Macaca mulatta: one gene and its partners. The protein of the gene in region 1 interacts with the protein of each later gene in a biochemical or structural test. Links are inferred from orthologs where the notes say so. Each region holds a gene or a part of one and is shown in the gene's direction. Other genes may lie near its edges.

Region 1 (4,144 bases):
GGTGGGGGCAGGGGAGCCCAGGCCAAGGCCCCAGAGAGAGGATAGGGAGAGGAGGACTGCGCCAAGCCTGCTTCTACTGCTCACATGGGGAATTGCCTGGGCTGGCTGTGCCTGACCCCTGGGAACCAGGTATGTGCGGGGGGCCTGGCTGGGCTGGGGAGGAGGGCAGACTGGGGCTGTGCCTGGACTCAGCTGTCTTCCTATATTGGAGACAGAGGAAGAGCTGGGTGGTGAAGAGCATGGACTCCGAATCTCACATCCCTGGGCCCAAAGGGAGCTGAGGAAGCTTTGTGGGTCCCTCTCCAGGCCTGTTTGCAGGTCTGTGAAGTGGCCAAGCCCCTAGGGTTGTTCCAAGTAAAATGCGCTCAAGCATAAACGATTTCACTGTGGTGGCGACTGTCCTGTTGGGGAAGGAGGGACACTCGTGCTTCACGTAGAGGCTCAGGGACGTAGACGGCTGTGGGCAGGGGAGAGGAGGCCTGCTGCCTGCCTGCGGACACTGTGGAGCAACGCCTGTGCACACTGGCCACCACCCAGAGCTTAGAGTCCAAAGAAGTCAGTGGAGGCCCATGTCGAGACTCATCCTTTCGTTACCCTGCAGAGTCACAGTCCAGGCCTGGGGTGGGCTGGGACACAAGTAGGGGTGCCGGCCCGGCCAAGGGAAAGAATGGCGGGAATGGACGCGGTGCAGATAGCCCAAACACGGAGGGTAGGCCAGGGAGTCTCAAGCCACTGGCCCCCAGGATGCAGGGAGGGACAGCTGCGTGTCACGTTTAAACCTCTTTTTGCCTCCTGGGCCCTCCTGAGACCCCTGGGCCAGGGCAGTTCTGGCTGCAGGAGGGATCCAGATCAGGCATAGCGGAGAGGAGATAGGCACGGGGGTCTGGGAGGGCTTCCCCGGGAGGGTGGGGAGGGCTGTGGCCCTTGTTGTTACCCTTTGGCCCCTTTGGGGGGGTCCCTTGTCCTGGAGACCCTTTGTCCAACCCGTCGCCCACCTCAAGACCTGCCTGGATGCTGCACATACAGTAGGTATCCAATAAATGTTCCTGGGATAGAAGGCAAAGGCGCTGGCACCAAGGCGGCTGCCCAGAGCAGGAGCGAGACAGAGGGGTCCTGGTGGCTGGGGGGGTCCCCTAGTCCTGCCGCCTTCCCCCACCCCCAGTCGGGATGACCGGCCACGGAGGCCGGGATGGCTGGGACCGGAGGTGGGGGCGGCCGGGCGGCGGGGGCGGGGGCGGGGAAGGGGCGGGGGCGGGGGCGGGGAAGGGGCGGGCGCGGGGGCGGTGCCGCAGCCCGAGCTGGAGCCCGAGCCGGAGCCCGAGGCGACGGGAGCCGAACGGGAGCCGCCGAAGCCACCGCCGGGTGCCCAGCGCCGCCGCCGCCCCCGAACTGCCCCGCGCCCCTGCCCGCGGGCGGCTGGTGGGCAGCGGGCGCCATGGCCGCTCCGGAGCCGCTGCGGCCGCGCCTGTGCCGCCTGGTGCGCGGAGAGCAGGGCTACGGCTTCCACCTGCACGGCGAGAAGGGCCGCCGCGGGCAGTTCATCCGGCGCGTGGAACCCGGTTCCCCCGCCGAGGCCGCGGCGCTGCGCGCTGGGGACCGCCTGGTCGAGGTCAACGGCGTCAACGTGGAGGGCGAGACGCACCACCAGGTGGGGGCCCGCGCTCACCCCCGGCCCGCCGCCCCCTCCCTGAGCGCGTCCCTCTGGGGCGGGCGGGGGTCGCACGGGGGCCTGAGGGGGCTTCCGCGGAGAGGACGCGGACATTGCCGGGAGGCAGCAGCCCGGCGCCTTCCGAGTCCCCGCGCAGGAAGCTCAGCCCTGCACAGGGGTGGGGGGGCATCCTGGCAGGGAGGGGCCCGCACTGCGGCTCCTGGCCGTTGGCCTCGCTCTTTGGTCGCGTTTTGGCCTCAGTGTGCTATGAAGGAGGGTGTTGGGCAGCCTGGGGCCCCTCCAGAAAGGTGGAGACCTGGGTGCTTTTGCGTAGGTGTGTGTACACGTGTGCGTGTGAACACAGCTGGGCGTGTGTGTGCAGGTCCCTCTGGGGTCAGCCAAGTGTGCACGCGCCTGCCTGTGTGTACCCAGGAGGGGTTGCAGTAAGGGCATCAGTGTGTCTGCAGTTGTGTGTGTGCTGGAGTGTGTGTGAGTATACAGGTCTGCGTGTGTGTGTGTGTGTGTGTACAGGTCTGGACTCCTGGGCATGTGAGAGCTGAGCTCTGTGTGTGTGCACACCTGGTTAGTGTACTCATCACTGTGTGTCTGCAGGCTGGTAAGTCTGTGTCTGTACTCTAGTGTGTCCCAGCCGGTATGCCTGGGACCGGGTTGAGTTGGCCATTGGTGGCAACCACATTCCTTAGCTCCAAAGGCACTACCCCTCCTCAGAGGCTGCTTAGCCCGGCTGGGGTTACTTGCTATAAAGCCTCCTGCCTCCTGGCTAAGGAGAACAGAGCCTTTTCTCTGTGGGTTCTGACCCCTGAGGTATGTCTGTCTCCCACAGGCCAGGGACTTCCACCACACCCTGGTGGGGGTCCAGTGTCCACACACCCCTTGTCCTCCAGGTCCCCTGTCCCTCACACCACTGGCGAATCCATAACCTGTCTGCATGGCTGGTCCTGGAACCCCAAGATTAGCAGTTGGTTCAGCTGGGCCTGTAGTTGGTCTCCTGTTCACCTGGTGCCTTGTCTGTCCCTCCGTCGGCCAGCCCCATGCTTTCCACCCAGTGTCTGCTGTGTAAGGTTGTTTGCTGAAGAAGGTGGGGATCAGGGCCGGGCGCGGTGGCTCAAGCCTGTAATCCCAGCACTTTGGGAGGCCGAGACGGGCGGATCACGAGGTCAGGAGATCGAGACCATCCTGGCTAACACAATGAAACCCCGTCTCCACTAAAAATACAAAAAAATTAGCCGGGCGTGGTGGCGGCACCTGTAGTCCCAGCTACTCGGGAGGCTGAGGCAGGAGAATGGCGGGAACCTGGGAGGCGGAGCTTGCAGTGAGCCGAGATCGCGCCACTGCACTCCAACCTGGGCGACAGAGCGAGACTCCGCCTCAAAAAAAAAAAAAAAAAAAAAAGAAGGTGGGGATCAGGCCAGTGGCCTGGACCTGAGGGATTGAGGGTAGGGCTGGCAGGGCTGGGGCCTGGCTGCTGTTTGATAGTCGTTGCCGCCCTTGCCCAGGGAACACCTGCTTATCCAAGGCCCTGGGGTGCTGGTCTCTGAGGACTGGACACACAGACCATGGTGGACTCTCCCCACTGCCCCAGGAGGGCAAGAGGTGCAGTTACTGCCCCATTTGACAGTTGAGGAAACTGATGCCAGAGATTTAGGGTGACTTGTTTGGGACACATAGTCAAGAAGCAGCTGGGTACTCGGTTCCTCTTGTCTCACTCTGGGTCATGGGGAGAGAGGAGGGCCAGGGGACAGATGGGCCTGGCTCAGTCCCTCCTATCTATTCACCACCCCTGCTGAGCCCGGTGGCTGGTGGGGAGCCCTGTCCACCCTCCCCCAGGCCGCAGGTGGGAGTAGGGCTGCCCGTCTTCCCGCCCGCTTCCCAATGGACACTGCTTTCTCTCTGCGGGTGCACGCCGGCCCCCTGCATGGTCCAGACACTTCACAGGCACCTGTACCCACACGCCGACAGCCACCATGCCATAGCTGTTCACTGCCCCTCCCCCTTGCCGGCTGTACCTGAATGTTGCTTCCCTGGCTGTGTGTGCGTACCCGAGCCAGGAGTCCAGCCATTCCCCTCCTCACAGGTCCAGTGGGAATGGGCCCATGGTCATGGCCTGGAGGTGGACATAAGGCCTGGGGTCAGGGGTTTAGACTCCCATGGCAGAGAATGACAGGAATGGGCACAGACACACCCAAACTGGGGCCCAGGGAGACACCCCTCTCCTTCAAACCTGGACGCAGACACAGACTTTGAAACAGATGGATGCACGTGCACACACTAACAGGCAGACTGAAAAGCTGAAGCTCCACTGTGCGCCGTCTTTGTTACTTCCAGACGGGACTTACCCAGCTGCCCTACCCTGCAGCCCCTTCCCAGCCCTGCCTGGAGAAGACCCTGGGCTAAGGGCAAGGCTCTGGGAGGACCCTGAAGCCCTCACAGCCTGGACCTCAGTGTCCAGAGCCCGGGTGCCGAGGGAGGGAGCCT
Region 2 (4,077 bases), on another chromosome or scaffold:
CGGCTGCACTCTGCACCTGACAGTATTGCAGTAATTAGCTTGGGATGCAAAATGATTTCTAAATTAAGGTCCTAGACTTGCAAAATCAAGAAAGCCTGATAATCAACATCGTCCCTCTGATGGCCAGTGAATAACGGGATAAATACCTAAGACAAGTCCTTTAACCATCCCACGTGGTGATAAATGCCCGACGTACAAATTAAAAGTCTCTACGACACGCAGGTGAAATACGGTATAGGTCAAGAAGAGAAGGTAGGGGAAAGGGTCAATGCTTAATTAGTTAAAAATCGCTGTCTTCCTCCTGTAGGAAGGTCTAGAGCCTGTGTCCTTTAGGGCACACGTGATGAAAGCGACATTTTGGCCAGGTGAAACCTCAAGCTGGTACAGGCTGCTAACACACGGGCGTCGTGCCCCGGAGACATCGGGGGTCCTGAAGATGGGGAAGGGACTCCCTGTTGCGTGTGCTCAGGGGTTAGCGGGTGAGCACCGGGCGGGAGGCTCCGGGGCAGGGGCTGCGCGTGGAGCCTACTCCGGAACGCGGGCTCCTCTCGGCCCGGCACGGACGGCGCAGGACTCCGAGCCGGTCGATAAGACAGAGAGAGAGCGGGAGTGGGAGGAGGAAGACGGGGAGAGGAGGAGGCCGGACGGCAGGAGCGGAAGAAGAGGAGGAGAACTGAGGCGGAGGAGGGCGAGAGGGTGGAGAGCCGGGAGCAGGAAGGGAGGAAAGAAAAAGGCGGCGGAGGAGCGCGCACCCGCCACTCCCGCCCTCCTCCTCCTCCGCATCCCCACTCGGGCTGGCCCTCCCCGGGCCGCCCGCCGCCGCCGCCTCTCCCTGTTCAGTCTTCCCAGCACCGCCAGGCGCCCTCTGCCTCCTCCGCACTCGGCGCGGCCCGCTCGGCGCCGCCGCCGCCCCCCCCCGCGCGCTCCTGGCCCGCGCGCCCCCGCCGTTCTCGTCCGCGCGGCCTCGCGCTCGGGGCATGCGCGGTGGGCGGCGCCGCTCCGGGCCGCCTCTGCCGCCGCGAGTAGGAAGCGCGAGCGCCGGGCGCCGGGCTGTCAGTGAGCCTGGGGCCAGCGGGCGAGCCAGCGGCTCAGGCTCCGGCTCCGGCTCCGGCTCCCGCTCCCGCTCTGCGCCGCACCGGCCTGACTCTCCCCGGTCCCCGCCGCGCCCCCTCGCCGCGACCTCGGCCACCGGCCCGCGCCCCCCGCCCGGGGTCGCCCCGAGCCCGCACCTCTCCGCCGCCGCCCCCGCCCACCCGGCCCTCCGCGGCCGCCGCTCCCCGGCGGAGGCAAGAGGTGGTTGGGGGGGACCATGGCTGACGTTTTCCCGGCCAACGACTCCACGGCGTCTCAGGACGTGGCCAACCGCTTCGCCCGCAAAGGGGCGCTGAGGCAGAAGAACGTGCACGAGGTGAAGGACCACAAATTCATCGCGCGCTTCTTCAAGCAGCCCACCTTCTGCAGCCACTGCACCGACTTCATCTGGTAGGTGCCGGGCCGGGCACCCCTGCCCCGCTCCTCCCCGCCCCTGGGTCCCGGTCCCCGGCGCGCCGGCAAGTCCGCCCCGGGGCTGGCTCACTCCGAGAACTTGGAACCGGCGGGAGTCCGAACTCTCGCCCGGAGTGACACGCGCTCCCGGCCCTGACACCGGCGGGCAGGACTCCCGGGACGTCGCCGCCCCGCCACACACACCCCCTGGCGCCGGAGGGAGGCTGGCCCCGTGCGGTGGCGGCGGGGATCTTTCCCCGGGCCGGGCCCGTCACCTCCCCGGGGGCGTCCACCCGCACGCACCCAGCGGAGCGGCCGCTTGCCGGGGTGGGAGCCCAGTGGACAGGGGAGGAGGAGAGGCCCGAAGGAGCGAAGGTTCCCGGAGAAACGCGTCCCGGAGTAACGGGGGAGCGGCGGCGATTGCGCTGCGCGGTCCAAGTTGCTGGCGAGCCAGGCTGGGCGCGTTCGGGGGGGTGTGTTTGTGCTTCCCATCGGGCTGGACCGCGCTGGAATCTTGGGCCCCTGCCTACTGTAGGCTGCATCTACTGGGCACGGACAGACTTTGACTTTTCTGAGTGAGCAGAGAGAGAGAGAACAAACTGTTGAAAGCTTGCAGTGGGGGAGGGAGAGTTCGAGCAGGCAAATGGCACAAGGGCAGAGGGACTCATTTAAAATAGACCCTGTCGGCCAGGCGCGGTGGCTCACGCCTGTGATCCCAGCACTTTGGGAGGCCGAGGCAGGCGGATCACCTGAAGTCAGGTGTTCGAGACCAGCCTGGCCAACATGGTGAAATCCCGTACTACTAAAAGTACAAAATTTGCGGGCGTGGTGGCAGACGCCTGTAATTCCAGCTACTCGGGAGGCTGAGACAGGAGACTCGCTTGAACCCGGGAGGCGGAGGCTGCAGTGAGCCGAGATCGGGCCACTGCACTCCAGCCTGGTCGAGACAGAGCGAGACTCCGTCTCAAAAAAAATTAAAATAGACCCTGTCAACACGAGATTAGACCTGTAACCCTGTTGATGAGGACAGAGGCCTTATTTAAGAAAAATAACATAAGGGCCAGAGGTGTCAGAGTTCAGGTAATCGCCAATGAATTCAGGCATTCTTAACTCGGAGGATCCTTGGGGGCTTATGGAGAATCGATACATAGAAGGGCTTCAGGGGTCTCTGAACCCTGCAAAACTGGGTGAAATTGTGTTTGTGAATCTTTTTGCTGGTGAGAGAATTACAGCTTTCATCTGATTCTCAAAAGTGTGTGACCCTTCTTCCCAGCTCCCCGTCACCACACAGAAGTTTAGAAAGCTGGAACTAAAGGAGCTCTAGGTCCTCTAGTTAGAGCAGCAGTAGTTTGGTTTTTCTCTTAGATTGCCGGATGCCCTGACTCTTCTACCTCTTCTTTGTCGTGTAGCAATTTCCTGACAAGACAGAGCTATGGCTAGGGCTTCTTAGCTCCCTCCCCTTCTAGGCCAGGGGGAGCTACCCAGGGTGGCAGTCATGGAGTGAATCCTGCCACCAGCCAGCTGTGTGGCACAGGTATCTTGGGCCACTAGAGTGAACATAATATGGATGGATCTGTCTGAATCCATCACACCTGGGGAAAAACATCCCAAAGGTCAGGTCCCATGATCGTGGTGCTGATAAGGTGTTTAATTTTTCCTTTCCTTTTTAGACATCTGCTCCCAAGTACACTTTTACGAAAAGCACAGCCACCTCTATGAGTGATTTCCACTGTCTAGTCAGCATATGAAGCGATTGTGCTCAAAGGAGTAGGTAATCGTAGATAAGGCTATTTAAAATACAATTTCGGAGCATCAGGGCAAAGAGAATATTGCATTTGGTTAAGAGGAGGTGGTCAACTGTGAGAGTCCATTAAAAGGGAACAGACTGCTGGTGACTTTTGCAGGAAGTGGGAGAGTTAGAAAGGGACTTGCAGCCGACCGAGGCTAGCTAGTGTCTTTCCACTGTCAGTTGCCCTTGAAGGATCAGCCCTTGGTGAGCTGAAGAGGCGCTCAGGTCACTAGCAGTGTTGTGAAGTGGAAGATAAAGGCCCCCCTGAGTATCCCTGCAGCTCTCTGCATTTAATTGTAAACCAACCAATTGGAAGTCCCAGGAAACCATCTACAGGGATTGTCTTTTTCAGTTTGCTTTCATTGTTGTTTCTACGGGGTCCTTGATTTGCAAGTTTATTTCAATATTAAATCACTGATATTTTTAAGTGAAATGTTTAGAGTTCATTATGGTTTTTGGTGAGGGGGGATGACTCTTAAGTTAATTTTAAAAGTATGTGAAATACTTTGTGCATTAAACATTCTATGTGAAGCAAGAGGTTATGACGCTCAGCCTTCTGAAGAAATGTTAATGCAGTTAATCCTAGTAGAACAATACCTGCAATTGAATGTCCATGTCAGGGTTCTCTGCTTACAGAGTAAATTCTCTAAAGTCATTTACAAGAACAAAATACCCTCCGTACGTGCTTTGACTGCTGTCGGTTCTCAGTCGAAATTAGATCATGGTAATCTCAAATGCAAACAATAGGAATGATATTTTCTAGCATCTGGTTCCTTAAGCCAAAATTAAATGTTAAAAGTGAT
Region 3 (4,311 bases), on another chromosome or scaffold:
ATGCCTCAGAGGATTTGGGGTTACTTGACATGGGGAAGGCACATAAGGTGGGGTGTAGGAGAGGGTCTCTGGTTGTAGATTTCTTAATTTAATGTTTGAAAACAAACATGCAAAAGTCTGTGTGCAGGTTGATGTTTCTGGACAGCCTGAGCACAATTTGCTCTCTCAACAGGAGAAGGAACCAGGTGGGAGCAGGGCTAGGCTGAGCTAGGCTAGTTGAATGGTGGGACATGACGTATGGGTGGCATTGGCAATAACAAAGTCATATTTTATGACGATTCCGTGCAAAAGGAAGCAGACATAGGCCAGTTACTGTGATTTGAAATTGCCTAAACATTGCTTTAGGTTGGCATGTCAATTTCAGGTACTAGTAAGTGCTTTTTTTAATTTTATTTTATTTTTATTTTTTGAGACGAGTCTCGCTCTGTTGCCAGGCTGGAGTGCAGTAGCATGATCTCGGCTCACAGCAACCTCCGCCTCCCGGGTTCAAGCGATTCTCCTGCCTCAGCATCCCGAGTAGCTAGGACTATAGGCGCACACCACCACGCCTGGCTAATTTTTTCTATTTTTAGTAGACACGGGGTTTCTCCATGTTAGCCAGGATGGTCTCGATTTCTTGGCCTCGTCATCCACCTGCCTCGGCCTCCCAAAGTGCTGGGATTACAGGTGTGAGCCACTGCGCCCGTCCCCAGTAAGTGCTTTTTTTTAAGTGTGGGCATTAAGAAAACGTTCCCAGCCAGACTCCAGGAAAGAGAATGTGTTTCTCTTCTCTCGGTTTGGGACTGTTGCAACAAAGCAAACCAAGAAGCAGTTGAGACTAGAGATCACTTTAGGGCAAGTGGGGGTGGTTTTGCCTGCAAAACAAACCCCTGCCCAAGACCAAGGAAAAGGCGTTTCACATGCTATTCCTGGTTTGACAGCTGGTATTTCGGGACTGTGCCAGATCTAGTAGGCAACTTTAAAATGGCAGAGCCCTTGGCAGCAAGAGGTCATGGCAGGGCAGCCACCGCAGACAGCAACAGCAAGCGCCAGGTACCTGGCCTTGCGAATAGTGGTAACTTGTAACTGCCTGCTCTGGGCCCAATCGCTGCGCTCGCGGCTTCCCAGCCAGCACTGGCTCACGTCCCCGCGCCGGCGGTCAGCCTGCGGCTCCCAGACATCCCCCAGTCGCGGGGTTACTGGAAGGCACCGGCATCGCTGCTCTGCAGAGCCCGGGCCGCCGCCTCCAGCTTCCCTCCCTTCCCTGCCCTGCCTTCTGCAGCAGGGTCACCCGGCTAATCTTTCAGGATAAAGTCACAGTTTCTGTGGGACTCGAGAGAAAGAGCGAGGTGGCAAAACGAAGACAAGCCCTGGGGCAGCCTTGAGTTAAATCCAGGGAGGAGTAGGGATGATTTTAAGATCATGTATCGTGACCTGCAGGGTTTTCAGGTGGGAGAGCTGGAGAGAAGCAGGCCCCATAGAGGAATCGAGGATGCCCGGGTCACGCCAGGTCGGTCTCCGGGCAAAGCTACCCCCTCCTTTCGCTTGTTACCTCCTCACGTGTTCTTGGCATGGCAGAGATTAAAAATGCAAGGAAAAAAATTACATGCGGAACGGACAAAATGTTCTCAGAGATTACTTCAGAAAAAAAAAAGTGAAATGCAGATTGTACTTTTTCCTTTAGAGCAGAGACGACTTTTATTTCCGCCCCCTCCCCTCCACATTCCTGACCTCTCCCTCCCCCCCTTCCCTCTTTCTTTCCTTCCTTCCTCCTCTTCCAAGTTCTGGGATTTTTCAGCCTTGCTTGGTTTTGGCCAAAAGCACAAAAAAGGCGTTTTCGGAAGCGACCCGACCGTGCACAAGGGCCATTTGTTTGTTTTGGGACTCGGGGCAGGAAATCTTGCCCGGCCTGAGTCACGGCGGCTCCTTCAAGGAAACGTCAGTGCTCGCCGGTCGCTCTCGCCTGCCGTGCGCCCCGCCGCCCGCTGCCCGCTGCCCATGAGGGAGATGCAGGGCGCGCTGGCCAGGGCCCGGCTCGAGTCCCTGCTGCGGCCCCGCCACAAAAAGAGGGCCGAGGCGCAGAAAAGGAGCGAGTCCTTCCTGCTGAGCGGACTGGGTAAGCGCGGTCGCCGGCCCCTCTGGGGACTTGGCTCACTTCCCCAGAGCGGCTCGGCTCCTGCCCCGCTCGCGGGCTCGTCCGCAGGGGCAGGCTTTCGTCGGAGTTCTGGGAGCCGGGGTCCCGGCGGCGGGAACGGGAGGACCTGGCAGGCAAGGTCGCGCGCTTCGCCCTGCGCCCCAGAGATAAACCCCAGAGGGTGGCGCGCACCGCCGGCTTGGGCTGGGGAGGGAGGTGGGGGTCCGGCCGCAGGACGGCGCCAGGCCGGGGAAAGGGAATCTGCAGGGAGGGAGTGAGCGAAGCCACCGTGGCCGCCGCGCACCCGCCGGGAAGCGCCTCGGCGCTGCGACCCCGGCTTTCTCGGGCGGCGGAATAAATGAGAGGTGGAAAACTACCCTGGGCTCTCCGGCCCTCCCCGCGCCCTCCGCTGGCGCGTTCCCTCTCTCTTCTGCCTCGGGGGCCGATGGAGGCTGATAACGGCCCCGCGCCAGGCCCTCCCCGGACGGTCCTCGCGCCCCTGCCCGGGGCTCGCCCTCTCAATGGGGACAGAACCGCCCGCCACAGGCAGCACCGCTGCCAGCAAACCGCGAGGCGGTCCGGGCGGAGGGAGGGGCGAGGCGAAGGGCGGGGCCGCTTCTCATTGTCGCTCAGGCCCCGCCCCCGCGGCGGGGCCTCGCCTATAAGGCCGAGCGCGCGGCCCGGCGCAGCACACACCGAGCCGGTCTCCGAGCGCTAACGTCTTCCTGTCTCCCCGCGGTGGTGATGACGGTGAAAACCGAGGCAGCTAAGGGCACCCTCACTTACTCCAGGATGAGGGGCATGGTGGCAATTCTCATCGGTGAGTGCAGGAATCTGGCGGGACTTATGCTCCAGGAGACTCAAAGTGGAAATTTTTTGAAAGTCCGGCATCAGATTAGTGTATGTGGCTCCGGACGTTATGAAGCCGTCTAAACGTTTCTTTATTTCTCCTCCTTAATCCACAGCTTTCATGAAGCAAAGGAGGATGGGCCTGAACGACTTTATTCAGAAGATTGCCAATAACTCCTATGCATGCAAACAGTAAGTTTGACGGGATTTGAGGAAATAAGAATAACTAGTCTGGTTTGAATTTGCCAGCAGTAAACATTCTCATCACGGCGTTTATCGGGAAGGCGAAGACTTCTTCTGGGGTGGGAATCTCTTTTCTCCTTAAATTTTAATATATTAGACACATTTTAAACATTAAAGTTAATTTGCTGTTTTGGCTTGAACTGGAGATGTAAGATAAATGGTTCGTGTTGGCCGAATTCACTCCCTTTCTCCATGAGCAACAATCCTTATTTCTGTATTTAACGGGGTTTATTATTTTCTTTAACTGAGTAATATATTGGGGTATTTTCAGTTTAAACACCGAATTATCCGGGTAGAAGACGGTAGAGCCAGAAACCGACTTTTGATGTTGGTATGCCCCCTAGTGGCGAGCTGGATTCTGAATCGTGCCCTTTATTCCCTGCAGCCCTGAAGTTCAGTCCATCTTGAAAATCTCCCAACCTCAGGAGCCTGAGCTTATGAATGCCAACCCTTCTCCTCCAGTAAGTATTTTCTATGTGCAGTGCCTCTGTGGAGAACTGTAAGGGAGTCAGTTAGTATTCCTGCCTTAATGGTTTAAAATAGCATTTCTAGAATTTAGTATCAAAGCAGGAATGCTTCATTACTTTATGGCATAACAAGTGATAACAAATATTTAAGTATTCAGTCAGTATTATTTTATTTTTTCGTGGGCGTATTTTACCTCCAAAGTGGATTATTTTAAAAGGCATATTTCATTAAAAAGTTTTATCTGTCCGAAACAACATGATTGTGTGCAGTTTCCATACTCATTTGAAATGACTTGTGATGAAATGTAGTTTTGAATGTTTATAGACAGATGTATGGTCATTTGCCTCAGTCATTTGTAGATGTAACATCTTCTACATCGTTTATATTATAACTGTCTTCCTTTGAAGCAATGATATTAAGAGAAATCCTTTTCTTTTTTTCCTAGCCAAGTCCTTCTCAGCAAATCAACCTTGGCCCATCGTCCAATCCTCATGCTAAACCATCTGACTTTCACTTCTTGAAAGTGATTGGGAAGGGCAGTTTTGGAAAGGTAATTTCGAATCTGAAGATCTTTTGGTACACTTTCTTCATGTCCTCATTTTACATTCTCCCTGGATAAGGATAGAAAAATGATTTTT

Evidence for each region.
Region 2: the proteins of NHERF2 (region 1) and PRKCA form a complex in vitro, tested with the Homo sapiens proteins (2 studies listed by BioGRID and IntAct, with this or other methods). The link is inferred for Macaca mulatta from reciprocal best matches to the Homo sapiens genes NHERF2 and PRKCA.
Region 3: the proteins of NHERF2 (region 1) and SGK1 form a complex in vitro, tested with the Homo sapiens proteins (2 studies listed by BioGRID, with this or other methods). The link is inferred for Macaca mulatta from reciprocal best matches to the Homo sapiens genes NHERF2 and SGK1.

The regions. Positions count from the first base shown.
Region 1 is NC_133425.1:3,253,137-3,257,280, forward strand, and holds the start of NHERF2 (Na(+)/H(+) exchange regulatory cofactor NHE-RF2), read left to right. Parts: upstream 1-1,334; 5' UTR 1,335-1,435; coding exon 1,436-1,648; intron 1,649-4,144.
Region 2 is NC_133421.1:76,041,978-76,046,054, forward strand, and holds the start of PRKCA (protein kinase C alpha type), read left to right. Parts: upstream 1-1,262; 5' UTR 1,263-1,309; coding exon 1,310-1,482; intron 1,483-4,077. UniProt on the Homo sapiens protein: Calcium-activated, phospholipid- and diacylglycerol (DAG)-dependent serine/threonine-protein kinase that is involved in positive and negative regulation of cell proliferation, apoptosis, differentiation, migration and adhesion, tumorigenesis, cardiac hypertrophy, angiogenesis, platelet function and inflammation, by directly phosphorylating targets such as RAF1, BCL2, CSPG4, TNNT2/CTNT, or activating signaling cascade involving MAPK1/3 (ERK1/2) and RAP1GAP.
Region 3 is NC_133409.1:39,239,235-39,243,545, reverse strand, and holds the start of SGK1 (serine/threonine-protein kinase Sgk1), read left to right. Parts: upstream 1-1,496; 5' UTR 1,497-1,566; coding exon 1,567-2,095; intron 2,096-2,803; exon of another isoform or gene 2,804-2,857; coding exon of another isoform or gene 2,858-2,933; intron 2,934-3,078; coding exon 3,079-3,154; intron 3,155-3,590; coding exon 3,591-3,666; intron 3,667-4,118; coding exon 4,119-4,223; intron 4,224-4,311. UniProt on the Homo sapiens protein: Serine/threonine-protein kinase which is involved in the regulation of a wide variety of ion channels, membrane transporters, cellular enzymes, transcription factors, neuronal excitability, cell growth, proliferation, survival, migration and apoptosis.